2 linked regions of the Anolis sagrei genome follow. The protein of the gene in region 1 interacts with the protein of each later gene in a biochemical or structural test. Links are inferred from orthologs where the notes say so. Each region holds a gene or a part of one and is shown in the gene's direction. Other genes may lie near its edges. The genes, in order: TAL1 and LMO2.

Region 1 (15,301 bases):
TCTGGGCACCGCAGTTTGAGGGAGATGTTAACAAGCTGGAATGTGTCCAGAGGAGGGCGGCTAAAATGATCAAGGGTCTGGAGAACAAGCCCCTTGAAGAGTGGCTTAAAGAGCTGGGCAAGTTTAGCCTGCAGAAGAGAAGGCTGAGAGGAGACATGATAACCATGTATAAAATATGGGAGGGGAAGTCATAGGGAGGAGGGAGCAAGCTTGTTCTCTGCTGCCCTGGAGACTAGGATGTAGAACAATGGCTTCAAACTGTAAGAAAGGAGATTCCACCTGAACATTAGGAAGAACTTTCTATCTGCGAGAGGTGTTCAGCAGTGGAACTCTCTGTCCCAGAGTGTGGCGGAGACTCTTTCTTTGGAGGCTTTTAAGCAGAGGCTGGATAGTCATCTCTCAGGGGTGTTTTGAATTCCTTTTTGGCAGGGGGTTGGACTGGATGGCCCATGAGGACTTTTCCAACTCTATGATTCTATCCACTTCATCACACTAGAGAAGAAATCTACTTAAAATCCGGTTTCTGCCTCCTGCAGAATTCTGGGGTTTGTAGTTTAATGAGGCTGTTAAAGGCTCCTCCCTAAACTACAAACCCCAGAATTCTGCAGGAGGAAAAAACTGGATTTTAAGTTGATTTTTTTCTGTAGCGTGATGAGGCTAATAATACCCAGAGGTGGTTTTGCTAGCACTATGTATCTGGAATAGACGATTCCAGGGATGAATAATACCCCCCTCTTTGCGATTGATGGCAAATCCTGTTGAAAAACTGGAGAGTCACCCCAAGCCCAACCTGTCGTTTCTGATTGGGTCCAAGAAGGTGTGTGATTGCGCGCGCATTAAAAATTAATCCTCTAATTGATGAATGTGCTGGAATTAATTTTCTAATTGATGAATGTGCTGACATTTCCAATTTAAATGGCGCTTTAGGAGAGAATGGTTGGATTCTATCTTCAGGAGAGCGATTCTAAGACGAGAAATAAAGCCAGACAGAGACATCAGGCGAGAGAGCGATGCTTATCTTGGCAGGCCGGGTAGGATTCCTACATCCCTTGTTAATACTGGGTTTGAATGTGGCTGCCTACCCCAGTGAACGTATTTACCTCGATTTTAGCCACCTTTTATCAGACTAGAGAAAAAAAATCCACTTATAATCCGGTTTCTGCCTCCTGCAGAATTCTGGGGTTTGTAGTTTAGGGAGGAGACTTTACCAGCCTCACTAAAGTACAAACCCCAGAATTCTGCAGGAGGCAGAAACCGGATTTTAAGTGGATTTTTTTCTCTAGTCACTCGGCTTCCGGAAGCCCCCAAACGCAGCCACGTTCCTCCAAAGCTTCCACTCAGGGTTTTGTTTGATGTGTGAATCGCCAACACACTTTGCAATACTCGCGCCCTAATCTCCAAAGATTGGAGATTTCTTGCTAAATTTAGGACCCTACACATCCCAGACTCCACCCATAAACCACAAAAAGGGAGCAACAGCAGAGGGGAAGGACAAAGAGACAAGGAGAAAGGCCGCAAAAATGGGTGTTTAGACAAAGAGGGGAATAGTGAAAAACTACTCTAACACCATTGGAAAAGACACATAACGATCCCCTCTTCTGCAGGACTTTTTCAGCTCCGACACCGAGATGCGAAGTTGGGATATTTGAGCGATACTGGACTCATTTGCCTTGTGGCCCCTTTGTAAATGGCCTCAGAGATCATATTTTCCCCATAAGGCCCTTGGGGACAAGGGGGCATCATCCAAACGACCTGCTTTACTTACAATTGACTGTTGGAAATGCTTTCCAGGATTGCAATGTTCAGGAACGGTAAACAAACAAGGCATTGGGTTGCTGTGAGCTTTCTGTGCTGTATGGCCATGTTCCAGAAGCATTCCCTCCTGACGTTTCACCCACATCTATGGCAGGCATCCTCAGAGGTTGTGAGGTCTGTTGGAAACTAGGCAAGTGGGGTTTATATATCTGGGGAATGTCCAGGGTGGGAGAAAGAACTCTTGTCTGCTTGAGACAAGTGTGAATGTTGCAATTGATCACCTTGATTTGTATTGAATAGCCTTGCAGTTTCAAAGCTTGGCTGCTTCCTATGATGTCAGACTATACAGAGAAGCCATTGAAATCCACAAGCACGTGGACAATTTCAACAGAAAGGAGGAAACCATGAAAATGAACAAGATCTGGCTACTAGTATTATAAAAACTCTGAAATCAGGACAGTAAATAAAAGAACAACACTGAGAAAACGGGGGAATTCCAGACAAGAAACAATCAGGGCCAGCTAATCACCTCCCAACAAAGGATTTCCCCCAGGCAGCAACCAGCCAAACTTTGAAGCTGCAAGGCTAATCAAGATGATCAATTGTAATTGAAAAGACCCTGTTCATTTCCCATTGAGATGTACCCATATGGGGAGGAGAGGCAGGGAATGACCTCCCCTAGAAAGTCTCAAAACAAGGACAGGCTCATTTGGAGAGATAGGATCTGTCAGATTATCATCACCTAAACCACATTGGGGTTTTTTTTTAAATAGGTGATAACAGCACTTTGAAATGTGGCCAAAAGCCTAGCCAACAAGTGGGATTGTTGCAACATGGTAAGGTTTAGGCAGGGCTTGCTGTAGCTGGGAAACCCCTGACTTTGAAGTGTGTTCTGGGTTTCGAATCAAGTATTTCAGGGATCAAAATCACATCCACATCTAGATTGTGGTAGACCAACCCACTGTTTTTATATTATCTCTAAGAGATAGAAATTTCCCCTTAAAAACAAAGAGCCTAAGCATGCTTTAAAACCTTTTAAATGGACACATTTTAACATTTTTTTTTATTGAAAATGAATGATAAGTGTGCATAAGATGGCAATCTTTGCACAATCCTTGAAGCTTGAGGGACTTCCACACAGCCCTATATCCTATAATATCAAGGCAAAAAAATCCCACTTTATCTGGGTGTGGACTCAGATAACCCAGTTCAGAGCACACGTTGTGGGATTTTCTGCTTTGATATTTTGGGATATAGGGCTGTGTAGAGGGGCCCTGAGATAGTCATTTTAACCTTTGAAGACTTGGCCACTCCTGGTTAGAGCAGACCTACTGGCTGAAGTGAGCCAGCATATGAATAAATCCCATTGATTCAGTAAGAGTAATTAGTTGAGCCAACCACAGAGAAAGGGTTTTTTTTTTTTTAACTTGAGTTGTCTGTCTCTGAGGGCCCTTTCTCGGAGAATGACCACGTGGCCAAGAAGCCAGGGCAATAAAATACCTTTAAAGAGGAAGTTACCTACTGATATAGATAGATAGATAGATAGATAGATAGTTGGTCCTCTGTATCCATGGATTCTCCCTACATGGATTTAATGGTACTTTGGAGGGAATTATAAGGCTGATATGGCCCTTGATGAAGATGAGTCTGACGCCCCTGTAGTAGAGGATTCTGTAGCTAAGAGTTGCAAATAGCCTTTCCCTAAATTGCAGTTTCCAGAACCATGGCAGCTCAAATGGAATCACAGTGCTCTGTCAGTGTCATGTGACTTGTGTGGTTCTCCCTGCTCCCAAGGTGTTCACTCTTGATGGGCATCTTTTTATGGAGCTTCCAAAGGTATCTGTCTTCTCTCAAATTCGTGCTTCTTTGCTGTAACATTATGAAACCCATTGGGTGACTTTGGGCAAGTCACACTCTCTGGTTCTCAGGGAAAAGCAATGGCAAGCCAATGTCTTCTGAACTAATCTTGCTAAGAAAACCCTGTGATATGTTTGCCTTCGGTCAGAAACGATTGCAAGGCGCACAAAAAACAACATTGTGTGATAGATGGGGCACCTTAGGCACTGACCTCTGTCTTTTTGAAGTCTCAAGTTTGCAGATGAATAGAAAAGACAGCAATGTTGTAGGAAGCCCAAAGTCAGGCCCATTCAGTTCAACAGAGCTTAGGCCCCTTCTACACTGCTATATAAAATCCAGATCATCTGCTTTGAACTGAATTATATGGAAGCGTAGACTCATATAATCCAGTTCAAAGCAGATAATGTGGATTTCTGCTTTGATAAGTAAATCTCATCTACATTGTAGAATGAATGCACTTGACCTGCCCTGGCTCAATGCTTTGGAACCCTGGGATTTATAGTTTGGGGATTTTGTGTGTGTGTCTGGAGCGACTTGAGAAACTGAAAGTCGCTTCTGGTGTGAGAGAATTGACCGTCTGCAAGGGCGCCTGGATGTTTTTGATGTTTTACCATCCTTGTGGGAGGGTTCTCTCATGTCCCCCCATGGGGAGCTGGAGCTGACAGAGAGAGCTCATCTGCACTCTCCCCAGATTCGAACCTGCGACCTGTCAGTCTTCAGTCCTGCCCGCACAAGGGTTTAACCCACTGCGCCACCGGGGACTCCAGAGCTCTCTGGCAGAGGTGAAAAGGCTAATGCCCTTGCAAAAGGACCATTCAAGTGATATCAAACTGCGTTTTTCTACAGTGTAGATGCAGATTGACTCTCAAGGAGTCGCCCCGGGTCATTTCGCTTCTTCCGGAAAGGCCCCAAGGCGATGGTCCCGGGATTTCTGAGTTCAGTCCTCCAGTATCTTTCTCCCTTTCTGTATTTTCTCTCTCTCTTCCCTTTTTCTCCACGGCGGAGCGAAGCGCTGTCTGGATTTAGAAGCGAGGCGTGAAATTAACAACCCGCAGCTCAGCGGAGAAAAACCCCACGGAAATAATTACGTTGCACTGAAGCGATTTGCAGTGAGGGTTTCTTTCGGCCTCTTCGCCAATCCGGCTCAGTGTAAATTGCTTCCAAAGGCGCCTCTTTCTGGAGGGTTTATATGGCAGGGTTTTAAAATGGGAACGTTTCTCCACAGGGCCGCCGAAAGCTGCAATCCGAAACACACTTGGAAGGGGAGACTCCATCTCTCATTGACCTGCCATGGGATGGGAGCAAACCAATTTCCTCCCGACGGGGTGGCGCATCCCAGGAGCAAAACCCTGAGCTAAACTGGCGAATTCCCATCGATTCCCTTCTTCCTCGAACACAATTCCTTGGAAGAAAAAAGGGAAAAGAGGGTGGGGGTGGATGGGGTAATCTTGGATCAAAAGGGAGCCACTGATTTCCGATTCGTCTGCGCGATTGATTCTCCTGTCATCTAGACCTCGAAACTCCAGATCGAGCCTAGAAAATGATGTCTTAACATTTCGAGATACTCTATGTGTGACGGCAGGAGTTGTGTACATTTAGAAAACGAATAGCTTAAGAATGGCGAGCTGGAGTGTTTGCGCTTCAACGCTTTTGGTTGTTCTGACTGCTATATTATTTCTCGCTCGAGAAAGCATTATCATTCTAGCTCAAGCCTGGGCCAACTTGGGCCCTCCCTCCAGGTGTTTTGGACTCCAACTCCCACTATTCCTAACAGCCTCAGGCCCCTTTAAGCGGCTGAGGGGGGAAAGGAAAGGGCCTGAGGCTGTTAATGGTGGGAGTTGGAATCCAAAACACCTGGGGGGAGGGCCCGAGTTGGCCCAGGCCTGCTATGGAGCCTGGAAGAAGGGGCTCCAATCCCTCCCTCGGAGTAAAAGCAGGCCAAGTTCGACTACCGAGACTCCTATGCATCTGCCCCTCTGATGATTGTGTGGTCATTCATTTGGTATTATATTCATAGCACCCCCATTGTTACCAACTTCGGTCAGATGAGAACACGATGATAGTTTTATACAATGTATTTGGAATTTTTTAAATTTTGTAATATATACATACACAAGAGGCTGCTAATGTCAAGAACTGGGAAGCTCTGGCCCTTAAGCGCTCCAGCTGGAGGTCAGGTGTGACCAGCAGTGCTGTAGAATTTGAAGAGGCACGAATGGAAGGCGAAAGAGAGACACTTGCCAAGACGGCCTTCCACCTGGAAGCCAATGCCCTCACTGTGGGAGAACATGCAGATCAAGAATAGGGCTCCACAGTCACCTACGGACCCACCACCAGTACACTGATCTTAGAAGACAATCCTACTCGGACAACGAGGGATCGCCTAAGTAAGTAATGTCAAGGCCTCTCCCACATCTTAAGGATAATTCCGAGCGTCCCTGGTGATCTCTAACACCGACGTTGGTTGGAAAGACTGTAGGAGTGGCAGCTGTCAATCTTCCTCCTCGTCCTCCTCTTTCCCCCCAAAGATGGACTCTGGGGATGCTTTATTTTCTTCTGCCGCCACAAAACACCCAGAGCCACATCAGCATCGCCCACCCGCTTCTGGCCCAGGAAAGATACAGAAATATTAGAAATGAATGAATGCCCCAATTAAATCAATAGGTTCATCCAATTTGGAAGGCTTGGGATGTACTCCAAAGAAAACCCAACCAGGCGGTGTGATGGCTGTCCATTCTTCCAGGCTGTAGTGGAGGATGTCTGAGGGCCCTTCTGCAGAGACCTATATCCCAAAATATCAAGGCAGGAAATCCCACAATATCTGCTTTGAAGTGGGTTATCTGAGGGCCCTTCCACACTGCTCTATATCCCAGAATATCAAGGCAGGAAAACCCACTTTATCGGATAGCCCAGTTCAAAGCAGTTATTGTGGGATTTTTAGCCTTGATATTCTGGGCTTTAGGGCTGTGTGGAAGGGCCCCGAGTGAAAGGAGTGCTAGGGGGGAGACGGAGGGGAAGAAGCCAAGGGCTCGTCCCTCCACGCAAACCCCAGGCCTCTTCTTTCACGCACAAGGCTTTCTTTCCGGGCCAGGCCGGGATGGCTTCCTCCCACTCGGCTCTCAGTCCGGCTGCCCTTCCTGCGCTCTCCGCCTCGAGGGCCTTCTCCTCCCCTCCCCGCCTTAAGCCCCCGGCCCAAAGAAGTGCATCCCTTTGGCTTTAACTTTGTCCCCGTCCCCTCTACACTGACCATTGACTGCAGTTTCAAACCGGCGTGGAAGAACGTGGTTTCGGTGTGCGGAAATCCTGAACCAGTTTGAGACCCGGATGACGATGGCACCAACCACGGAGCACGGAGGCGTCCTTTGTGGGAGATTCCCGTCCCTCCCAGTTTGAAGCGCTGACTGGTCTTGTGTTCCTCCTCCTCCTCCCCTGCTTCTTCTGCGCGTCTCCCCTTTGGCTTTAACTTTCCCTCTCCTCCTCTTGCGGCTGCTTCCTTCTCCCCCCTCCCTCCCTCCCGGCCCCCCTTCCTTCCTTCCTTCCTTCCTTCCGTGAGGTTTCCTCCTCCTGGCTCCTCTCCCTCTCCCTCCGCCTCTTTTCCATCCTCCCTTCTTCCTCCCTCCGTCTCCCTGCGCCTTCTTCCTCCTCTGCCGGCCTCCCGCTCTACTCTGCGCCTCTGTCTGTCTCCCCAGGATGCTGATGGAGAGGCCCCCCAGTGACCCGCCGCGGGATGCAGCGCCCCACGGAGCCGGCGCTGGAGCCGAGGGCCTGGGCGAGCCGGACGTGGGCTTGGGCTCCGGCAGCAGCAGCAGCGGCGGCGGCGGCGGCGGCGGCGGGGGCGGCGTGGGGGGCGTCAAGGGCGGGGGCGGGGGGATGTCCTCCCTCCTCCTCCTCCTCCCCCCCTCGGGGGAGCCGGCGCCGCTGAATGGGGTTGCCAAGGAGACGGGCCGGCCGCCCCCCTCCCCCGCCGCCGGCCCCCCCGCCGCCCCGGTGCCCGTGATCGAGCTGGTGCGCGGAGGGCGAGCCATAAAAGCCGCCCGGGGCCCGGCCGGAGGCGCCATTCTCGCCCGGACCGCAGCAGACCCGGACCGCCCCCACACCGCGCCCGCCTTGGCCCTCGCCCTCGGCAACGGGAACGGGACGCCCCCCGACGCAGCAGCAGCAGCAGCAGCAGCAGCAGGAGGAGGAGGAGGAGGGAACCTCGGCAGCAGCAGCAGCAGCGACGCCCGCATGGTGCAGCTCAGCCCCGCGCCCGCCCTCCCGCTCCAGCCGCCCCCGCGGACCATGCTTTACGGGCTCGGAGCCCCCCTCGGCCCCGCCGCCCCCGCCGCCAACGCCGCCAACGACAACGCCAACGCCAGCAGGTCCGTCCCCAAAGCCCTCCCAGCCGGGCAGCCCGATCCCCCGGCGGGCCCTCTTTGGGGAGGGAGGAGGAGGAGGAGGAGGAGGGGGAGCGGCCCAGCCTTTGCCCCTGCGCTTGGCCGTATGCTCGCTCGCTCTCCGACTGAGCCGCTGGGCTTTCCTTATGAGACCAGGACACCTTTTCCGTCGAGTCCTACCCCTTTTCTTTTCTCCAGTTTCGTTTTGTCTCTCTCATGTCTTCTGCCCCCTTTTCTCTTTCCTTTCCTCCCTTCTTTTTCCCATTTCGCAGTAGGAAAGGCTTCTTCCTTTCCTTTATTTTTCTTTCCAGTTTTGCTTAGTTACCCTACCTTTTGTCTTCCTTTCCTTTTTTCCCTTTTCAATTTAGCGCAGTTGTCCCACCTGTATTCTTCCTTTCCTTTCCTTTCCCTTCCTTTCTTTTGTATCCTTCCCTTTCCAATTTCATAGTCGTCCCACTTTCTGTCTTTTTCCTTTTCTGTATTTTTCTTTTCAGTTTGGCTTAGTTTTCCTACCTTTTGTCTTCCTTTCCTTTCCCCCTCCTCAATTTAGCGCATTTCTACCTGTATTCTTCCTTTCCTTTTCCTTTTCCTTTTCCATTTCCATTTCCTTTCCTTTCCCTGCTCTCAATTTCTTTCCCATTTTTGTTTAGTGGTCCCGTCTTATGTCATATCCATTTCTTTCCTCTATTTTTCTTTCCAATTTTCTTTAGTTCTTCCACCTCCCATCTTCTTCATTTCTCTTCTTGTCTTTTCCTCTCTTTGCCTTTCCAGTTTGGCTTAGTTGTCTTGCCTTCTCTCTTACCCGTTTCTTCCTTCTTCTTGACCTTTCTTCCTCTTCCTTTCCTTTTATTTTCCTTTCCATTGCTCTCGTATTTTTCTTGACAATTTTGCTTAGTTGTCTCATCTTTTATCCCCATTCCTTTCCCTTCCCAGTTTGCTTAGCCGGCCTCTCCTGTCTTAGGCATTTCCTTTTCTCTCTTGTCTTTTCCTTCTCAATTTTGCATAGTTGTCTTGTCTTTTGTCCGAACGATTTCTTCCTCTCCTTGCCTTTTTTTCCAATTTTGTCCTCTACCTTTCCTTTCCTTTCCTTTCTGTTCCCCTCCCCCTCCCCTTCCCCTTTTCCTTCTTCTTTCCTTTCCTTTATGATCCCTTTCCCTTTCCCTTTCCCTTTCCCTTTCCCTTTCCCTTTCCCTTTCCCTTTCCCTTTCCCTTTCCCTTCCCTTCCCTTCCCTTCCCTTCCCTTTCCAATGTTGTTTAGTTCTTCCATCTTTAGTCCTTTCCCTTTCCTTTGTAGCTTAATTCTCCTGCTTCTGTTCTCTCTCTCTTTTCCATTCTGATTCCTTTGGCCCTTTCTTTTTGTATCCTTTTTTCAGTACTACAAGTCTAAACCCAGTGCCTTCTTGTCTTGTCATTGCATGGTCTCAGTTACAACTTTTATTGTTGTGGTTGTGGTTGTGGTTGTTCTCCTTATGATGGCTGATATACAAGCACCGTTGGAATGAGCCCCAGGAACACTGTTGCATGAAAGGAAGAGCAGGCCTTCCCAGAAAAAAAAAAAACCCTTCTCCTCTTGGTAGCGAACTGCCAAAAGGGAATAGTTTTTTTTTTTTTTTGCAGAAAATAGGGCAAAGCCAGGTGAAGTGACAAAAGCTAAAAGCAGGCAGCTATCTATGTTGTCATCCTTTATAGCATAAAAAGAAAGAAAAGAAACCAAGCCACCTTCCCAGGCAGATCTTTAAAAACATAATAATAATAATAATAATAATAATAATAATAACGATTACAATAACAATATATGCATTAATTTTAATTCAATTGATTTTAAATTTACTGTTTGTATATGTTAAGACATTGAATAATTGCCATATGTAAGCTGCCTTGAGTCCCCCTTGGGGTAGAGAAAGGCAGGGTATAAATAAGGCAAATAATAAATAAATAAATAAATAAATAAATAAATAAATAAATAGTAACTTTATTTATAGACCACCCTCTCTCCGCAAGGGGACTCCTTTGTTGCTCATTTTGGAAATGTGTATCTTAGAAAAATGGTAAAGCATTTTTGTACCTTCAGATAATATGAATGATTTGTCCTGGTGTAGTAATAACAAATTGCTTGTAGTAACACAGATATTGCTTGTTCTCTCCCTCCCTCCCTCCCTCCCTTCGCACACAGAGATACACACATACACATTTACATACATACATATATACATACATACATTACTGGTGGAGTAGATCAGAATTAGGGAGAAAATAAATATTTCCAGAAACTACAGTGAGTGTTCACTCTGTTTTTTATGTGGGGTTTATAAATCTGTTCATATTCCACAGATGTATAAACCCCATTTGCCTAGTTTCCAACAGACCACACAACCTCTGAGAATGCCTGCCATAGATGTGTGTGAAACATCAGGAGATAATGCTTCTGGAACATGAGCAAAGAGCCCGGAAAACTCACAGCAACCCAAAGTTGTCATCATTGGTTAAATTATTGTTTAGGGTCTTCTTTTTTTTTTAAAAAAGTTTTCATTTATTTTGGATGGTAGCAGAAATGCCATGCCATTTTTTGGTACCAACAGGAATGTCATGTAGTTTTTATGGCTATTAACATTGACGTTGTGCCTGAAAGCTTTGCAAAGCCACGGCCTTGCCAACTTTGGCACGATTAGCCAATGCTTTGACACCAATGTCTTGGAATAAATGCTTTTAGCCAGGTAAACAACCCTGTGGTATTTTTTAAATTAAAAATGCTGCAATTTATGCCTTCATTCTTCCTTTAGGAATTCCTTAACAGCACTAAAGATATCTAAATCATAAAATCTTTGGGTTACAAGATGAATGGATTTCAATGAAATTGCACCTTCACAATTTAGTTTAGAATTGCAGTTCGGGTTCTTTGTGCCTCTCTGTGTGAGCATTTACATTGTGCGTGCACATATTGCAAATGCCTGCCTCATGCAGTCCACTCAGGCATGCCTTTTCCATATATGCGTTGTTTCTTGGAGGGACTAAATGAAGAACATCCCATAGACTTTTGTGTTGGTCTGTTGAGTTAGATCACCTGGGTTTCCTCACTCATTTTGTTGTTTTTATGCTTTTTCTTTGACAGTGTTTTTTTTGGAGAGCCAGACAACTACCTAATGTACAACAATCGAGTGAAAAGAAGACCTTCTCCCTATGAAGTGGAGATCTCTGATGGTGAGAAATTCTCCCCCCCCCCCTCCTATTGGGTTAGGATGGTTTTTGGATCATAACTGTACCTGCCAGTTCATTGCCCATTATTGCTAAATTATTGAAATAATTTAGGCAGTAGCCTACAAGTGGGACCTGCAGAAATTGTTGTAGCATGGAGCTTCTTGTTGTAGTCAGCCAGAATGTCCGCTTTTACCCTTCCTCCAGTTCTAAGCCTCTCCTCAGGTGATTCAAACTACTTGCATTTTGAGAATTCTCATTAAAATATCCATTTATTATTTAAAAATATAACTGACCAATTTTTGGAGTTACTCCAAACCCTCCTTGTTGTGTGGATGACTGTTGCCATTTTTCTTCAATATGCGGAGAATGATTGGCCATTTGTATGTACTAATTAGCTATTAGTGTGTCTTAAGATGGAAAGCAGAAGTGGAGACAAGGACGATTATGTATCGTATATACTCAAGATAAGCCAACCCAAATATAAGCAGAGGCACCTAAATTTACCACAAAAAAGGGAAAATACATTGACTTGAGTATAAGCTGAGGGTGGGAAATGCTGGTAAATTTCAAAATAAAAATAGATACCAATAAAATTACATTAATTGAGGCATCAATAGGTTAATTTTTTTGAATATTTACATAAAACTGCAATTTAAGATAAGGCTGCCCAACTCTGATTAAACCATAATTCTAACCTTTTTCAATGTAAATGAGCTTGATAGAGTCATATAATAAATGCAATAACAACAACAATAATAGAGTAAAATAATGGAAATGTAATAATTATAGTAATAAATAGAGTAAAATAATAAATGTAACAAACTATATAAATAAAAATGTAATGTTCGTTTGTGGGATTAACATAACTCAAAAACCACTGGACGAATTGACATCAAATATGGACACAATACAGCTATCAGGCCAAGCAGTGACTATCACTCATAAAAACACTGAAAATCACAGTGGAAGAGACTTAAAAAGCCAAAAAAAATACATTACAATGCATGCGCAAAGCCACATATAAACACATATTTACACACACAGAACACATATTCACAGACTGGGCCACAGCAACGTGTGGCAGGGGATGCCTAGTAACAATAATAAATAGAGTAAAATAATAAATGTAATAGCAACAACAATAAATTAAAAGAATAAATGTAATAATGTGGTGTTGGAGGAAAGTTCTGAGAGTGCCTTGGACTGCGAGAAGACCCAACCAGTCCATCCTCCAGGAAATAAAGCCTGACTGCTCATTGGAGGGAAGGATACTAGAGACAAAGTTGAAGTACTTTGGCCACATCATGAGGAGACAGCAAAGCCTAGAGAAGACAATTATGCTGGGGAAAGTGGAAGGCAAAAGGAAGAGGGGCCGACCAAGGGCAAGATGGATGGATGGCATCCTTGAAGTGATTGGACTGACCTTGAAGGAGCTGGGGGTGGTGACGGCCAACAGGGAGCTCTGGCGTGGGCTGGTCCATGAGGTCACGAAGAGTCGGAGACGACTGAATGAATGAACAACAACAACAACAACAACAACAATAATAGAGTGAAATAATAAATAACCTTGAGTCGAGTATAAGCCGAGGGGGACTTTTTCAGACTAAAAAAGTGCTGAAATTCTAGGCTTATACTCAAGTATATACAGTTCATGCTCAGGATTAAGTATGAAGATTGTGAAAACAGAGAGAAGACAATAGTCATCTAGTGCTTTGTGACTTTTGTAATGTTAGTCATGAAATTTCCTTTAATGGAGCTTTAAGTGAAGCACATATTGTAAGCAGATCAGAACATAACTGCGTTGCCTGTGGGTTGTTGGGGGCAGGGTTGGAGGTGCAAGAGGGTTTGCCAGATTGTGATGTAAAGATTTCAACCTTGCCATACTATTTTGTGCCAAACTGGGAGGAGGTGGCTTTGGTTTCTCCTGTAATTCATCTCTTTCATTTCCTTGTTGCAATGGGAGATCTCTACACGCTACACAATTGTATTGTTGAGATTTCACTGTAATGATCCTGGCAACATCCCGTAAAATCCTGGGATTTATAGTTTAAGGAAAATATTTACTATTCTCAGCCAGAGAGCTCTAGTGACTCAACCAAATTATACAGATCCAGGATTCCATTGGATGGGGCCATGCCCGTTAAAAAGAAATCATGCCAATATAATCATCTAGTGTGAAAAGACTCACAAATGGAGTAGAGGGGTGATTGCAAGAAAGAACAGTGGATGCTATTAGTACATAATTTCTGCAACTGAGGAGCTGCCCAGCAGTATTAAACTCTAGATAAGAAAATGACTAATGAGTCGCAGAGGAGAGGAAAATAGGACAAAGAAGCTGTGTCCAGCTCATCCCTTAACGATCTAGCAGATTGAGGTGAGAGCAACTTCCAGGTTATAGCCATCCAAGTGAAACAGCGACTGATAAACAATCCTTCTTTGAGAAAGATCCTCATTATGACATTCATTGGATATATATATTCTTTTTATTGTTTTTATCATAGTATTATTCCAATGGTGTAAGTTGCCAGGAGGTGTCATAAGGAACCATACTTAATCAATGGCTTTTCCACAGAGATAGAAATAGAAATAGAAGTGACACAAGATCTTTCTATAGAGGTTGCTATTTATAGATTAGGGTTGAATTAGGCCAAATTGGTAGAGGTTCTAATTAAGTTTTGATTTCAAGACTTTCAGTTTTAGGATTCGTCTGCTTTTTCTGCCCTCACCCAACTCTCTAAATTATTAGGATGGAAAGGATGAAATAATTGAAAATGAGTCATTTTCAATTAAGTAAGGTGGTGGGGCAACTTATAGGAGGATTGTGCAGGAGACTAGGACGTGGAATAGTTGCTTCAAACTACAAGAAAGGAGAGTCCATGTGAACATTAGGAAGAACTTCCTGACTGTGAGAGCCATTCAGCAGTGTGGTGGAAGCTCCTTCTTTAGAAGCTTTTAAACAGAGGCTGGATGGTCATCTGTCAGGGGTACTTTGAATGCAATTTTCCTGGTTCTTGGCAGGGGGTTGGACTGGATGCCCATGAGGTCTCTTCCAATTCTATGATTCTATGATTCTAGGAATAATAGAGGGTGTATTTCTGTGGAAGTTTAGACATTTTCCAGTAGATTCTGGCCAATTTTGGCAGATATAGATGAGGGCACATTGGCTAGAGGCATGGGGATCTACCTTGAAGTTTAGGTTTCTTTGGACATCCGATGGTCTGTGTTCAGCTTGGTTTTCATCTAAATGGGGATGTTAACATCCACCTCAAAATAGCAGCTTTCTGGACTTTATATAATACACTCCCGTGCTCCATCAAACTGAACACAGACTTTTTACAGCCCTTTCTGTTGTAGTCTCAACTAGGTAGCAAAACTGGGCTTTATGGAGGACAACTGGAAAACATTTGGCAAGCCACATACTATTTAGATCTGGACTCAAGAAAGTATAAGTGAGGATGATGATAAGGTTTCACTGATGTAGAACAATAACTTGAAATGGGACCCTCAATTGAAAACTTTGGGGCCCAATAGATCAGTGGTACCAAACCTGTGGCCCTCCAGGTGTTTTGGACTTCAGCTTCCAGAATTCTTGGCCATTGGACAAGCTGGTTAGGGCTTCTGGGAGTTGGGGGCCCAAACATCTGGAGGGCCACAAGTTTGACACCTCTGCAATAGATGACAGTGACACATATAACTACTTACACTTTATTTAAGACTTGATTGAAAATTGTTGTAGAAAAACTGTATTGTGATCATGATAACTTAATTATATTAGGATAATTAACTTGCTAAATGCCTTATAAAGATCCAGACCAATTCTCAGCGTGAGAACCTCAATTTAAGGAGATGGTTAGTATTTTTCAATAGCATGTTTTAAAGCTATAGATATTTGCTCATGCTTTTCCTTCTTTTTTTTGCATGTACTCATTTCTTTCTTTTTTTTTTGTTTTCCAACATCATTAAACTGAAAATCAAAGCCATCTCTGCTAGTCAAAAGTCCAAAATATCTGGCTTTTTCATGTTTTGAATTTTTAAAAGGAGGTTTTACATGTTCTGTCATCTTGTTCACATGTTTTGGCAAGGTTCTCTATCCCTAACCCCTATTTCTCTGTTGTTAT
Region 2 (15,136 bases), on another chromosome or scaffold:
GACGACGGATAGGAATGGACAATGTGGAACAAAATATGGACTCTGAGTTGGCGAACGCTGTGTCTGAGATTGGCTATCGATTGTGAGATATATTGTTGTTTTAATTGTTTTAATTGTTGACCATTTAATTGCTGTTTTTATATGTTATTGTATTTGTGTGGGCACCAAGATGTGCCTTTTTGTAAGCTGCCCTGAGTCCCCCCTCGGGGGTTGAGAAGGGCGGGGTAGAAGTACACGAAATAAATTATAAATAAATAAATGACCTTGGAGGTGTCTATGGACAATGCCGACTCTTCTGCTTAGAAATGGAGATGAGCACCAACCCCCGGAGTCGGACACGACTGGACTTAATGTCAGGGGGAAACCTTTACCTTTACTACAGATCTCATTGTAATTATGCACCCTCTTCCTGCAGGACAAAAGGAACTATAGATGTTGTAAAGAAAAGAGGGAGCAAGTAGTTAATTACTCATGGTGAGAAAGTAGAATTCAGTGTCATATTCATGAACAAAAAGAGAGATCTTATGAAAAGAGAAAAGTACACATGGAAAGTTATTACTTACACATTCAAAGCAAGAAGCGAAAGTTTATTTCTGGAAACCAAGCTTACACGGTAGTCTCTTTTTTTTCTCCACTTGAAAAGAGTAATCAGTTAATCCATGTCAGTAAAATGTTTATTTTGCTTCCTGTTCTTTTATCCTTTAGGAGCTGACATTGTGTGCAACTACTGAAAGCTTCAGGAAAGAGCTTATTTTAGATATGAATGGAAATTCCACTTAGAAAACTGTTGTTTGATTGTGGCTTGAAATACATACACCCTTGAATAAAGGATACACCCTTCTGGCTTCAGAACCCTTTATATACATCTTCAGAGGGTTCCTACTAATGCAATGTATTTTAATACTCCACCCGCCACATGAAACTAAGCTGTGTTTTTGTGTCACAGAGCTTCCATGACATTTGTCTTTATGCAATACCTCCTACATTACTATTGGTTTAACTAGCTAACATAAGTACATTCTCCAAATTTTTGAATATTTGATACTTCACCGTTCTGCAGTATTTTCCTCTCTCGTTTGCAGCATAGCATCACATGTATGAAATGAAAAGCATAAACATTGAGAGAGCTCTTTATAAATCAAAAGGGAGAAAGTACAATGTGGATATTTTCATGTGACAAAAAATATAGCGGAAGGTAAGAACCTCCATATTGAATTTTGTAGTACTGAAAGACTTATGAAAATTAATCAAGAGTATTCTAAAGCTTACAAAATGTCTGCATAGATAATCTCTGCTTCTGTTTTGGATACCAGTTATATGATTTCTAGATTTATTAGACAATTTTCCTGGGTTTGATATCTGAGGCCACATGATGTTTATCACTCAGGGATTACAGCAGCAACCATCTTTCTTGCAACATATTGCATTTGTATGTAAATGCAGTTATCTGAAATGTTTGCACATTTAGCTGCATATCATGGAAATCCATATCAGTGGTTCAGAATGGTTGTAGGTGTGTTTACAGGGAAAACACAAAGATTGCCCCACTTACTCATCAGTACAAGTTATGATAATGTACATCAGTGGTTCTCAACCTTCCTAATGCCGCGACCTCTTAATACAATTCCTCATGTTGTGGTGACCTCCAAACATAAAATTATTTTTGTTGGTACTTCACAATAGTAATTTTGCTACTATTGTGAATTGTAATGTACATATCTGATATGCAGGATGTATATTCATTCACTGGATGAAGGCACAAATACCCGATATGCCCAAATTTGAAAACTGGTGGGGTTGCGGGGGGTTGATTTTGTCATTTGGAAGTTGTATTTTTTGGGATTTATAGCTAACCTACAATGAAGGAGCATTCTGAACTCCACCAACAATGGAATTGAACCAAACTTGGCACACAGAAATCCTATGACCAACAGAAAATACTGAAAGGGTTTAGTGGGCATTGACCTTGAATTTGGAGTTGTACTTCACCTACATCCAGAGAGCACTGTGGACTCAAACAATGATGGATCTGGACCAAACTTGGCATGAATACTCAATATACCCAAATGTGAACACTGATGGAGTTTGAGGAAAATAGACCTTGACATTTGGGAGTTGTCGTTGCTGGGATTTATAGTTCACCTACCATCAAAGAGCATTCTGAACCCCACCAATGATAGAATTGGGCCAAACTTCCCACACAACCCCCATGACCAAAGGAAAATACTGTGTTTTCTGATGGTCTTTGTCAACCCCTCTGACACCCCCCTTGTGACCCCACTAGGGGTCCTGTATCCCAGGTTGAGAAACTCTGACATACATGTGTATTGTAAACAGTGGGGGGTTGTGGCCAAAAAAGTAACTTTCAGACAGTAAATTGTCTCTCTTAGCACTCTAATCTATTATATAGTGACAAGTCCTATACTCCATGCTCAGTGTTGTATAAAGCTTTTCAAGCTCTCTCCACTGCTCAAAACAACCAGCCTTATTAATCATTGGTACAGGAGCAGGCCCAGCATTACTGTTACTTCTCAGGTGTGATGCAGTGATTGGCATGGCAAGAGAGGTAAAAGTGTGGCTTTGGGCCGCTATTAGAAATGCCTGAGATGCTAGAGGCCTTTCACTGGCATTGTACACTCCAAACAGCATCGACTACTCACAGTCTCACCTAGGCAGTGCCTCCTTTGCAGTTTTAGGATGCATGGTTACTCCACAAGAGTAGTAACCAAAGCAGGTAGTGGGATAAGGCTCTCATTTATATATTAACAATATGAATGTGCTCTTCTGTTTTTGTCTGTCAGTTAGCTTATTTGACTTGTTTGAATTCTTTTATTAGTGGTACATGCATTAGTCAATAACAAGAAGCCATGCTGTAAATGATAACGTTCTTCTTTTCTATATATAGCCACTTGAATTTTATAATAAAAGCAATTTTAAAAACCCAAATAGATATGCTCTATCAAATAACACCTTTTTGTACATACAGAGATTTATTTATTTACGACATTTATATGCCGCCCTTCTCACCCCGAAGGGGCTCAGATAAAATAAGATGGGAAATAGAATGTATATTTGCATATTCTGAATCTGAAGGTATAATTTGTTTGACTTTGACTTCCTACCTTTGGCTTTTGGGACACAAAGGCTGTAAGCCACATTCCAACTATGTCTTATGAAAAGTAGTCCTTGGTGGGAATGGCATGGCAGCATCCATCTTCTCCTTAAGAAAAACTTGAGGATTGAATCATAAAATCATAAAAAATATATTAAAAAAAACATTGGAAGGCGCCCTGTGGGCCATCAGGTTTGACCCCTTACTCAGTGTGAGAAAGAAAGGACATAAAAGAGTCAAAAATAAAACCAAGACCATGGTTTCGATATGTGCTTTCTTCAAAGGTTAAAGAGGGACATTGAATATACATTCCAAGGATGGTTTTGGAGGACAATAAGTTGTTTCGTCTTGAGATGTTAAATTTTAGACATTGTTGAAACATCCATTGCCGAGAGACATGATGTTCAATGTCTAGCTGTGGCACCCTCAGCAGGTAGCTGTCCTCTTCTTGAAGACATCAAGAGAAGGAAAGCTCATTGCATCTCTAGGCGATTGGTTCTCTTTCTGAACTGCTGTCACTGCTGAGATGTTCTTTCTAATGTTAAATTGAAATCTTCCCTCTTGTAACTTCATACCATGAGACTTGGTCCTAAAGTCTTGGGCAGCAAAGAACAGACCTGCTTCTTCTTTGTGTCAGCCATAGAGGTATTTCAGAAATGCAAGCACATTATCCCTCAGTCTTCACTCCACCAAGATGAATATGCCCAATTCTTTCAACCCAGCTAAACACACCCAGTTTATATATATATATATATATATATATATATATATATATATATCTTTCTTTCTTTCTTTCTTTCTTTCTTTCTTTCTTTCTTTCTTTCTTGGATATATTTGTCCAGAAGGAGTTTGGTTTATAAATGGTTCGGGGCTAGGCTATTTGTCTAACCACATCTCCCTATATAGACCACCTCACACACTGCGGTCAGCGGAGGAGGCTTTGTTTTGGGTAATATCCCCCCCCCCCTCCAATAACTATGAATTCTCTGTTTACGTGAGACAACGTGTGTATGTTTTGGGGGGGAAGACTCCAAAACACACACACTATATTATTGTAAGAGTGCTATGTAGTTAGATCTTAGCAATTGGTCAAATTGTAACCCATGCATAGAGCAATCAGTCAGACATCCAGAAACCAGATATCGATATTTGTGTAATATTGGTGACAGCAAATCTGAATGCATTTGAATGGTCCCTTCCTTCTCCAAAGATTATCCATTGGAGATATAATCAAAGTTGAATAGGAAGAGCTTCCGGGTCAGAAGGAAGCAGGGCCGTAGCCAGAAAAATATTTTGGGGAGGGTTGAAAATTTCAGGGAGGGTTGAAAATTTCATGGGGGGGGGGGGTTAGGGTCACGCTGAAGCAAAGAGCACAGCAGGGGGCAGAGCAGCCTTCCATAGCCTGCAGCTCTGCCCCTGTCAACCACCTCCACCAAGTCTGGCATTCAGCCCCCCCCCCCCAACTTGGTTGCTTCGCTACATCGGCTATTGCTGCAAGTAATGACAGTGTGAATAAATTGTCAATATTTGCTTGAGATAGTGCTTGCAGTTCTGGAGGGACTCTTAATTTTTTGCATCTCATAGACTTAGCATTAGGATTTGGTTAACCAGTTAAAATTCATGAGTAAACCAGGTGTTTTTTTTAACTTGAAAAATTTCAGGGGGGGGGGGTTGAACCCCTACACCCCCCTCCACCCCGGCTACAAGCCTGGAAGGAAGTTACTGTTCTGAAAGTGTGACTAGTGACCTGCATTTTGAAAAGGGCACCAGGAAGGCAGGCTAAACCTAATTCCCTTTATAGCCCATGCCATGAAGGGTCTTTGTCCACTTGGCACCAATGCCTTTTGGAGGAGGCCCTGACACTTTGCCCTGAGATTCCCCTAGAGTTTGGACAGAAGCTGAAAGACAGATACAGTTTTAAAATTAGGCAATTAGAAATGATTCCACAGATATATAAACCCATTTTCCTAGCTCCAACAGACCTCACTACCTCCGAGGATGCTTGCCATAGATGCAGGCGAAATGTCAGGAGAGAATGCCTCTAGAACATGGCCATATAGCCCGAAAAAACCTACAACAACCCAATTAGAAATGCGCTAAATTTTCATCACCACCTGCTGCATTACATATTGGGGAGGACATATCTGCAAGGGGAATGGTACATGTCACCAACATTCGAGTGGGTTTTGATCTCCTGCTTCCCTTTGCTTAAGTAGCTGTAACTTATCCAGGAGCCACTGGAGCAGTTAATTCCCTGTCCCCGCCTGTACTTGAGAGACAGGCGCACCTCCAGCCTGGCACTGCTGTCACTGCACTTCTAAGGGGATTTCCACCACGAAGCAGATCTCGCTCCACGGTGTGAATTATCCTCCTGCCTCGCTGGAGGGGAGAGGTGAAGAAGGGAGCGAGGGAGAGGCTGGAAAAGATGATGAGATAGCGGTTTCTTTCCATTACTGGCTTTTATGTGCCTGCTCAAGCCTTCATCTGTATCCACATGAATGTCATTCTCAGATATTAGCTATCAGTCATATACGTCTACACTCATATCAGACTCTATTAGTCATTATTAGACATTAGTGTATATATTAGATACTATTAATCATATATATGCATATACATATATGCATATGTATACATGGGTGCATATGTGTATATATACACATACTCACACAGATATATGCATACATATACATATAATAAATATATATGTGTATATAATAATATCTAATAGTGACTAATATAATCTAATTCTTGTTTGCTTGAGACAGGTGTGAATGTTGCAATTGACCACCTTGATTAGCACTTAATGGCCCTGCAGGCTCAAAACCTGGCTGCTTCAAAATCTGGCTGCCAGTATTAAAAAATAATGTCCTACTAATAATGACTAATATGATTAATACTAGCTTGGGGACCCAGCGCTGCCCAGGGTTATTTGAGAAAGGAATTGTGTATCAAGGTTGGTCTTTCTCAGTTATTTATATGGCTCGCAATGGTCTCAGGAAGTTGGTGAAGGTACTGTAAGTCCCATCATCTCTGGTCCATCCTCCTCCAAACTGCTTCAGGATGGAGAGTGGGTCATAGGGGCTCTGTGTGCCAAGTTTGGTCTTGATTGGTCATTAGATGACTGTTGCAGAAGTCTTGGGAAGTGAGTGGAGGTACTTGAAGTCCCATCACCCATAGTCTGTTCTCCCCCAAACCTCACCAGAATATTGAGTTGGCCATGGGGGATCTCTGTTCCAAGTTTGGTCTTTATTGGTATTTGGATGAGTGTCGCTGTGGTTTCAGGAAGTGAGTGAAGGTACTACAAGTCCTATCATCCATCGTCCATTCTCCTTCAAACAGCACTGGTATGTAGGGTAGGTCAAGGGGGCTCTGTGTGCCAAGTTTGGTCTTGATTGGTCATTAGATGAGGGTTGCAGCAGTCTTGGGAAGGGAGTGGAGGTACTTGAAGTCCCATCATCCATGGACTGTCCTCCTTGAAAGTGCACCAGGATGTAGAGTGGGTCATGGGGGCTCTGTGTGCCAAGTTTGGTCTTGATCAGTCATTGGCGAGGGTCTCAGTGGTCTCAAGAAGTAAGTGAAGTTACTGCAAGTCCCATCATCCATTTCCAAATTTTTCCAAACTGCACCAGGATGTAGAGTGGGTCATGCGGGCTCTCTGTGTAAATTGTCATCCTGATCTATCATTGTTGGCAGTTGTAATGGTCTCAGGAAGGAAGTGCATGTATTGCAAGTCCCATCGTCCATGGTGCATCCTCCTCCAAACCACAGCAGGATGTAGAGTGCGTCATGGAGACTCAGTTTGCCAAGTTTGGTCTTTGTCGGTAATTGGATGATGGTTGCAGTGGTCTCAGGAATTGAGCAAAGGTACTGCAAGTCCCATAATCCATTGTCCATCCCCGGCCAATACCATAGAGAAATATAAATTGAAATTTTATACCAAAACTCCAACGTGGCTGTCACCCCTAGAAGCCTTTCAAAGATGAGAATTAGGCTGGCAAAAGTGGCCCACCTACAAAGATCTATTAAAAGTAGACAAAGGGAAGATGGTATTAAAGGAAGAAATTGCGATTAAAAAAAACTTTACTAACTATTCCTGGTTCCACAGCCAAGTTTTAAGTGTCTTGTGAAAAGTCAGGGAGGGGGCAGATCTAACTTCTTTAGGAAGGGAGTTCCACAACCGAGGGGCCACCATGGAGAAGGCCCTGTCTCTTGTCCCCACCAAATGCGACTGCGATGGTGGCGGGACCGAGAGCAGGGCCTCCCCAGATGATCTTAAAGTCCTTGATGGTTCATAGGGAGAGACACCTTTGGACAGGTAAAGTGTTTGTCACTGCTTAACAAGTAGAAAGGACAATGTGCAAATGGCTTAATGACTAGCCAAGGAGGAAGACAATAATTATTTGGGCAGAGAGAAGAGACATTACAATCCTATTTTGATGAAAGTCCTATCTGATAATAAACGCAACCCGGCCCCTAAAACCGATTCTACCTGTGTAGAGATGTGTATGCTGTCCCTGGGCAGAAGACAACTTTCCCTGTGCCCCGCTTGCCTCTTGGAGAGCCCGGCCTCGCTTCCCTCCCCAGAAAGCCCGCTTTCTTTCCTCCTTAGCAAAGGTCTGCGGCCCTTGAGTCCAGCGGTTACCCATACTATCAAGTAAAATATGAGTCCTAAATAACGAGATGCAACCACCCTGCGCGGCCAGGGCAGGGAAAGGCGAGCTCTGGCCCTTTAAGGCGCCCGCCTCGGTCGTCGTGAGAGATGCGTCGGCTGCAATTATTCCCGGGGGAAGGGAGGGGTGGGGGGCCAGGGAAGAAGAAATAGACAGCTGTCTCTTTAAAATGTCATTTCCTTCTATTGTATTGGAGTCGTGATCAGGAAAGAGGATGTGAAAGCAGAGCGGCTCGGAGGGAGGGAGGGAGAGAGAGAGACAGAGAGAGAGAGAGAAGGAAAGACACAGACACAGAGAGAAGAGCTTCAGAAGTGGGACCAGCAAGAAGAAGAAGAGGAAGAAATAGATGAAGGAGGAGCCGCTGTCCTGCTGCTGATGGTGGTGGCGGCGGAGAAGGAGGAGCAGCAAGGGATGCTGAGCGCTGCCTAAAGCAGCAAGGGAAAGAGAGAGAAAGAGAGGAGGATTCATCCCGGGATCGAAGCGCGGCAAGGACCAAGCGCCTGGCCAGGATGGGAAGCTGAAAGCCCGCCGGGCTCCCGGGAAGAAGGGTCTCTCCCCGAAAGGCCGCCTCCCCACGCCCCGGGCTCCTTTGGTCTGCCTGCCTGTATCCTTCCTCTTCTTTCTCCCTTTCCCGAAGGGAGCCCCGTGGATGTGGTCGCGGGTGGGGTGACCCCGAGCCAGAGCTGCCAATGTCCTCGGCCATCGAAAGGAAAAGCCTCGAGCCCTCCGAGTAAGTGGCCTTTCCCTCCTGCCTTCCTTCTTTCCTTCCTTCCCCCTCGCCTTTCCCTTTTTCTCGGGGATCTGGGCATACTTTGGGGAGTCCTACTTTGGGAGAGAAATCCCATCTTCTCCAGGGGGAGGTCCGCCCTTGTCCTGCCTAGATCCCCGGTTTTGGGGTCCTCCTTTGGCGACTGGGCTTGCCAAGTGCAGCTAGGGAAGGGAGCAAAGAGAAGGACGCATTCGGACCCCCTTTCCCCTCTTTCCTTCAGTCCCCAAATGCCTACGATTGCGGTAAGTTACAACTTTAGAGTTCAGGGAAAAGGGAAATGGAGTGGTTAAGGGAAAGCGAGGACCGCAAAGAGGACTTCCAGTGTGGATATATATGTGTGTCCCGTCAAGTTACCTGTCACCTTAGGGCGACCCTATAGGGTTTTATGCATTTTCGAAGGCTTTCCTGGCTGGAATTGCTGGGTTGTTGTAAGTTTTTTGGGCTCTATGGGTTAAAGCGCTGAGCTGCTGAACTTGCTGACAGGTCGCAGGTTCGAATCCGAGGACCGGAGTGAGCTCCCGCTGTTAGTCCCAGCTTCTGCCAACTTAGCAGTTCGAAAACATGCAAATATGAGTAGATCAATAGGTACCGCTCCAGCTCCATGGGTGCTCCATGCAGTCATGCCGGCCACATGACCTTGGAGGTGTCTATGAACAATGCCAGCTCTTCAGCTTAGAAATGGAGATGGGCACCAACCCCCAGAATCAGACAGGATTAGACTTAATGTCAGGGGAAAACCTTTACCATTACTATAGCCATGTTCCAGAAGCATTCTCTTCTGAATGCTATCTATGGCAGGCATCCTCAGAGAATGTGAAGTCTCACAACCTCTGAGGATGCCTGCCATAGATGCAGGCGAAACGTCAGGAGAGAATGCTTCTGGAACAGGGCGACACAGCCTAAAAACTTACAACAACCTTATAGGGTTTTCTTAGGCAAGGCATATTCTTCCTCCCTCTGGAATATAGCCTGCAGCACCTGGAATTCCTTAGTTTCCCCTCCAAGTTTCCCCTCCAAGTTTCCCTTAGTTTCCCCTCCAAGTCCTAACTGGGCCTGACCCTTTTGAGCCGAAGATCAGTGTGAATGTGGTGACTTTGTATGGCATTTAGGCCCTTTTGATGCAAAAAAGGCATACTGGCAAAAGCAAAGAGAGATTTGCAGCTATAGTTATTCTGGTGCTGGTTCAATAGGAAGCAAAAGTCTTTTGATGTCTTATGGGTTCCCCGATGAGAGAAAAAGTGGGGACAAGGAAGAAGAAGACATTTGGGTCAATGGCTCTCCTTTCCCTTCACTGTCATCCGCTGCCTTGGTTGAGAGATTCAGGATGTACCTAGAGTGTAGAATCCATGCACTTTGCCACTATTTTAACTGCCATGGCTCAGTGTGATGGGATCTTGGGAGTTGTTGTTTTACAAGGTCTTTTGCCTTTTCAGCCCAAAGAGTGTTGGTGCCTCACCTGACTACAAATCTCAGGAGTGCATAGCCTTGAGCCATGGCAGTTCAGGTACTGTCAAATGGCATTAGTACTATAGTAAAGATGTGCCCACACTGATCATTATGGAAGTGCTGGGTTGCTGTGGTATGATCATGTTCCAGAAGAGTTCTCTCCCGACGTTTCGCCTGCATCTGTGGCAGGCATTCTCAGAGGTTGAGAGGTCTTACAACCTCTGAGGATGCCTGCCATAAATGCAGTTGAAATGTCAGGAGAGAATGCTTCTGGAACATGGCCATACAGCCTCAAAAACTTACAGCAACCCAGTGATTCTGGTCATGAAAGCCTTCAACAAAATTATGGAAGTGATTTATGTGGATGGAGGTGAGGAAGCAGATCATAGTACTTTCCAAACACTAGAATTTGTTTTCAGGCTCTTTTTCCTCCTTCCCAGCCCAATTTAATAGGCTGACTTGACTAAAAGGATGCTATCAGATGATCAGATGTAGGGTCAACATCCACTTTTTCATAATTTATTTATTTATTGTGTCAGAAGCGAGTTGAGGGTACAGTTACAATGTATTTAAAAACACAAAGTTTTAAAACTTGGCATTATGCTAACTGTCCTTTGACCAGAAGCTGGCCTCTGGTGTCGCTGGGAGAAGGTCCTCCATTGTGCATGTGGCAGGGCTCAGGTTGTACTGTAGTAGGTGGTCTGTGGTTTGCTCTTCTCCGCACTCGGATGTTGTGGACTCCTTTGTAGTCCCATTTCTTAAGGTTAGCTTAATAAAATTCATAATGCGAGCATCGGGTCACAACAAAACCTTGATCACAAGTGCCTCTGTGCATCAGCCACAACAAGAGCTATACACTGTGGAATTAATGCAGTTGAAAACTACTTTGACTGCCATGGTCCATTGCTATGGGATCCTAGGAGTTGTATTTTGATGAGGTGCTAGGACTTTTTGGCAGAAAATATTAAAGACTTTTAAGTTTAATTTTACTTTGGGAAGAAATGACTTGGGGCCATGGTGGCGCAGTTGGTTAAACCACTAAGCTACAGAAATTGCTGATCAGAAGGTCGGCGGTTTGAATCCACGGATGGGGTGAGCAGTAGCCACAGATTCTGCCAACCTAGCAGTTAGGAAACATGTAAATATGAGTAGATCAATAGGTGTCACTTCTGTAGGAAGGTAACGGCACTCCAGCCGTCATGCCAACCATTGGGTGAGCTCCTGCTGTTAGCTCCAGCTTCTGCCAGCGTAGCAGTTTGGCAACATGCAAATGTGAACAGATCAATAAGTACTGCTCCAGTGGGAAGGTAACAGTGCTCTATGGAGTCATTGCCCTTAGAGGTGTCTACAGACAATGCCAGCTCTGCGGCTTAGAAATGAAGATGAGCACCACCCCCCAGAGTTGGACATGACTAGACTTAATGTCAAGAGGAAACCTTTACCTTTACTATCCATATTTTACTTAGAGATAATTGATATAATGTTTAGTGAGGCTTGCAATTAAATGTAACCTTTAACATGCCTTGGGTGCATCTACTCTGTAGAATTAATGCAGTTAAACACTACTTTGAATGCCATGGCTCATTGCTACAGTCCTACCAAAGTAATATAGGCACATACCATTTTATATCTGTAGAGATATTATACTTAAGGCATTACTTATGATATAACTGAATTTGGGTTTTATGGAAACAAACCTTCTATATATTGTACATAGGGATTAAATCCTGTTGAGCTAGTGACTAAGATTCACACGACTCTGTTTATGATGGTAGCATTTTATTAATTTTACTAGTTCCTTCTCAATATTATAAGCAGTGGAAATTGTCTATACACTATCAGCCCTTGTATCAGAAGAAATACAAGATATAAACAAATAAATGGTATATATGTCCTAACTTTAAACTTTGCATTTATATATTTGTTCTATGTCCTGCTTCTATAATAATAATAATACTTTATTTGTAACCTGCCCTATCTCCCCTGGGGGACACAGGGCGGTTCTCCTCCCATGAATGGAATTTGGGGACTGCCATTGTATTTAATGTGCTTTGTTTTTAATCTGACAATGATTCCCACATGGCCTGAGGAAAAAGTAGGCTGTGTATTGAAACAAAAGAAACCTACATGTTGGGACAGACGTATCTTAGAAAGCCTTCGATCCTTGTCCCAATCTTTTTGAGACACAGATTCTATACTGAAAGTATGCTAGAGTGCACGTGATTGGGATCAGTTGTTGGAACAAGTTTTCAAATATAGATAATATAGGGACAAAATATTATGGACTTGTGACAATTGTTCCTGTTTTCCGTAATACATCAGTTTTCATATCCCATAACACTTTGTAACATGATTTTTGTTCCTGGGTTATAAATGTCACTTCCTAATTGGTTATATCTTAAAAACATGGAAAAAGTTTATTAAATTGTCAACACTTTGCTTTTGCAGGACATCCTGCAGCCTATGTTGCTATAGTTTTTCAATGAATATCTCCTTGAGTTTCAATCAATTCAACATAGCTAGTGGCAGCCACAAAAACAAAGTTTCCAGAGTATAACAACTACTTCCAAAGTAATTACTGCACAATTAAACAGGAATAACACTGTTTTTTTTCCCTTTCAAATTTTGTTACTTTTCACTCTTTGGGGAATGAGTCTTTATACCCCAGTTCCTGAGTAGAGTGGTCCATACATTGGATTGCCATTAAGTGTGATACTTCTGTTGCACTACATACATCTAATGACTAACGGTGCAGATGTCATTCCTGAAAGCAAACACAATATTATGGGAATTTAATTTTTTTTAATATCCTGATTATTATGGTGTAAAACTGCTGCACAAACCCAGACCGTTCGAGTCTGAAGAAACTGGGAGTGTACTTCAAACTTGATAAAGATAGATTTGCTCTCAGAGAATTCTACACCTTTTTCTGTTCCTTAGCTATTTATATATGCCTGGGGGATGTCTGCATTTTGGTTTCATTACCTGAGAAAATGCTTTTCTCATTCCTACAGATTTTAAAGTATAATGAATATTTCATGTCAAGAGGTGGCAGGTGGGGGAAATAAATGTTCTGTTTGACTTAACTGTCAGCTGGAGAAGTGATAGCAATGCTTTAAAACTGTGGGATGGATTCCTGTGTTTGGTGGATTTTGGTTTGGTCCTGCTCAGGAGGAAATGGCGATAGATTTTACTTTTATTGTTCATATATATTTATTGTTTTGTCTTTGGTGATAGACAAAACTAGACTATACAGCAACTCTAAAGGGCAGAACTTTTCACCTGCTCATTTCCATTATTATATAGTTATGAGTTTAGGTTGGAGATTTTTCTTCTATGGGATTGAATCTGATCCGTCTGCTAAACATAATTATCTTGCATGTGTTGAAAGACAGAAGCGCTGTGGTTTTTCCTAAAAAAATCAGTTAATCTTGGCAAACTTTATATAATATGATTTGGAGTAGTTTAATCCTTTTTCTTTATCTTGGAATTCTGTCATGTATTTTTGAGGTGATACACACTGGAGAGCTATAATGCTTAAGTATTTCTCCAGATTAATGCAACCTTACCTCAGCTGTTATTATTGTATTAACTTGAATCTAATGCTCATCTTTTTCTTTTTTCTTTTTTGGCTAAATTACCTTGCCAAAACTGGGGTGCATATTAGATTTGTGTAATACGGTAATCCGAGTGCTGAGCCACGGAAAAGGGGGAAGCTGATTCAGGAGGTGCACCTGGACCTCCTCTTTGAGGGCTGTCATCTCTAATGAAAGGCCAGGGCTCAATGTTATGTGATCCTGGGATTTGTAGTCTGGTGAGGCATCAACATTCTTTGGCAGAGAAGGCTCAAGACCTTGTAAAACTACAGCCCACAAGGTCCCACAGAATTTGAACCAAGGCAATTAAAGTGGATTCATTCTACAGCATAGATGCACCGCAAGGTTTTCATTTCCATTGCTGGAAACTTTGGTGTTCTAACACAATTGTTTATAATAAAGGAATTCTAAGCAGGCAACAACAATAGTAATGAACACATTTTTTTGGCCAAATTACAAAGAGCACATTTTTTGCCACATGTATACACACACACACACACACACATACATATATTATTTATTTATTTGCAGTATTTATATACCGCCTTTTTCACCCCTGGGGGGACTCAAAACGGTTTACACATAAATAATGGCAAGATTCAATGCCTTATATTGGGCACCTATATGATGCCAATACAAACAATTACAATAGTAAAACCACAATTAAACATAAATCACTATTTAAACAATACATCAACAAGCATTAAAACAATAAAACAGTCTCATCAGTCAAATCACCGTTCCAGTCAATGTTCCTCTAAAATGCTACATACATCTACTGTCCTATATATATATATATATATATATATATATATATAGGTTTCAGGGTTTTGAAAATTGTGGTGTGCATTACATCCAATGGCACATTAATAATAATAATAATAATAATAATAATAATAATCTTTATTCCCACCACCACCTCCCTGAAGGGACTTGGGGAGGCTCACAAAAGCACTCAGAAGTGCAACACACATAAATACATAAGCATTTAAAACAATGACAATATAAGTTTCACAATAATTTTACATAAAACATCATATAAACCCTTATTGATTTAAAATTCCATAAAACGCTGTGGATATAAAATAGGCTGTATTCAAGTATCAATCCCATAAAGTGCCAAAGTGAAACAAATCACCAGGTCCTCGAGTTTAACAATTAACATACTAATCATGGTTGAGGGCCTGTTTAAAGAGTCATGCTTTCAGATTAGCCCCCACTCTCTCTAGGAAGGGCATTCCAGAGCTGGGGGGCCACCACTGAAAAGGCGCTCTCTCTCTCTCTCTCTCATCCCCACCAACCACACTTGAGATGGAGGTGGGACCAAGAGGAGGACCTCCCTAACAGATCTTAGAGACTGTGCCAGTTCATAGAAGGATATGCGTTCTCGAAGATGCATTGGGCCCGAAGCACATACGGTTTTATAGGTGATAACATGCACTTTGAATTGGACCTGGAAACTTGCCGACAGGTGGAGCCGCTTTAATAGGGGCTTAGTATGCTCCCTATAACTAGCCTCAGTTAGTAATCTCCCTATAAC

Evidence for each region.
Region 2: the proteins of TAL1 (region 1) and LMO2 form a complex in vitro, tested with the Homo sapiens proteins (2 studies listed by BioGRID). The link is inferred for Anolis sagrei from reciprocal best matches to the Homo sapiens genes TAL1 and LMO2.

The regions. Positions count from the first base shown.
Region 1 is NC_090024.1:177,399,053-177,414,353, forward strand, and holds the start of TAL1 (T-cell acute lymphocytic leukemia protein 1), read left to right. Parts: upstream 1-7,150; 5' UTR 7,151-7,302; coding exon 7,303-7,973; intron 7,974-11,097; coding exon 11,098-11,186; intron 11,187-15,301. UniProt on the Homo sapiens protein: Implicated in the genesis of hemopoietic malignancies. It may play an important role in hemopoietic differentiation. Serves as a positive regulator of erythroid differentiation.
Region 2 is NC_090021.1:268,075,511-268,090,646, reverse strand, and holds the start of LMO2 (rhombotin-2), read left to right. Parts: upstream 1-7,914; 5' UTR 7,915-8,474; coding exon 8,475-8,515; intron 8,516-15,136. UniProt on the Homo sapiens protein: Acts with TAL1/SCL to regulate red blood cell development. Also acts with LDB1 to maintain erythroid precursors in an immature state.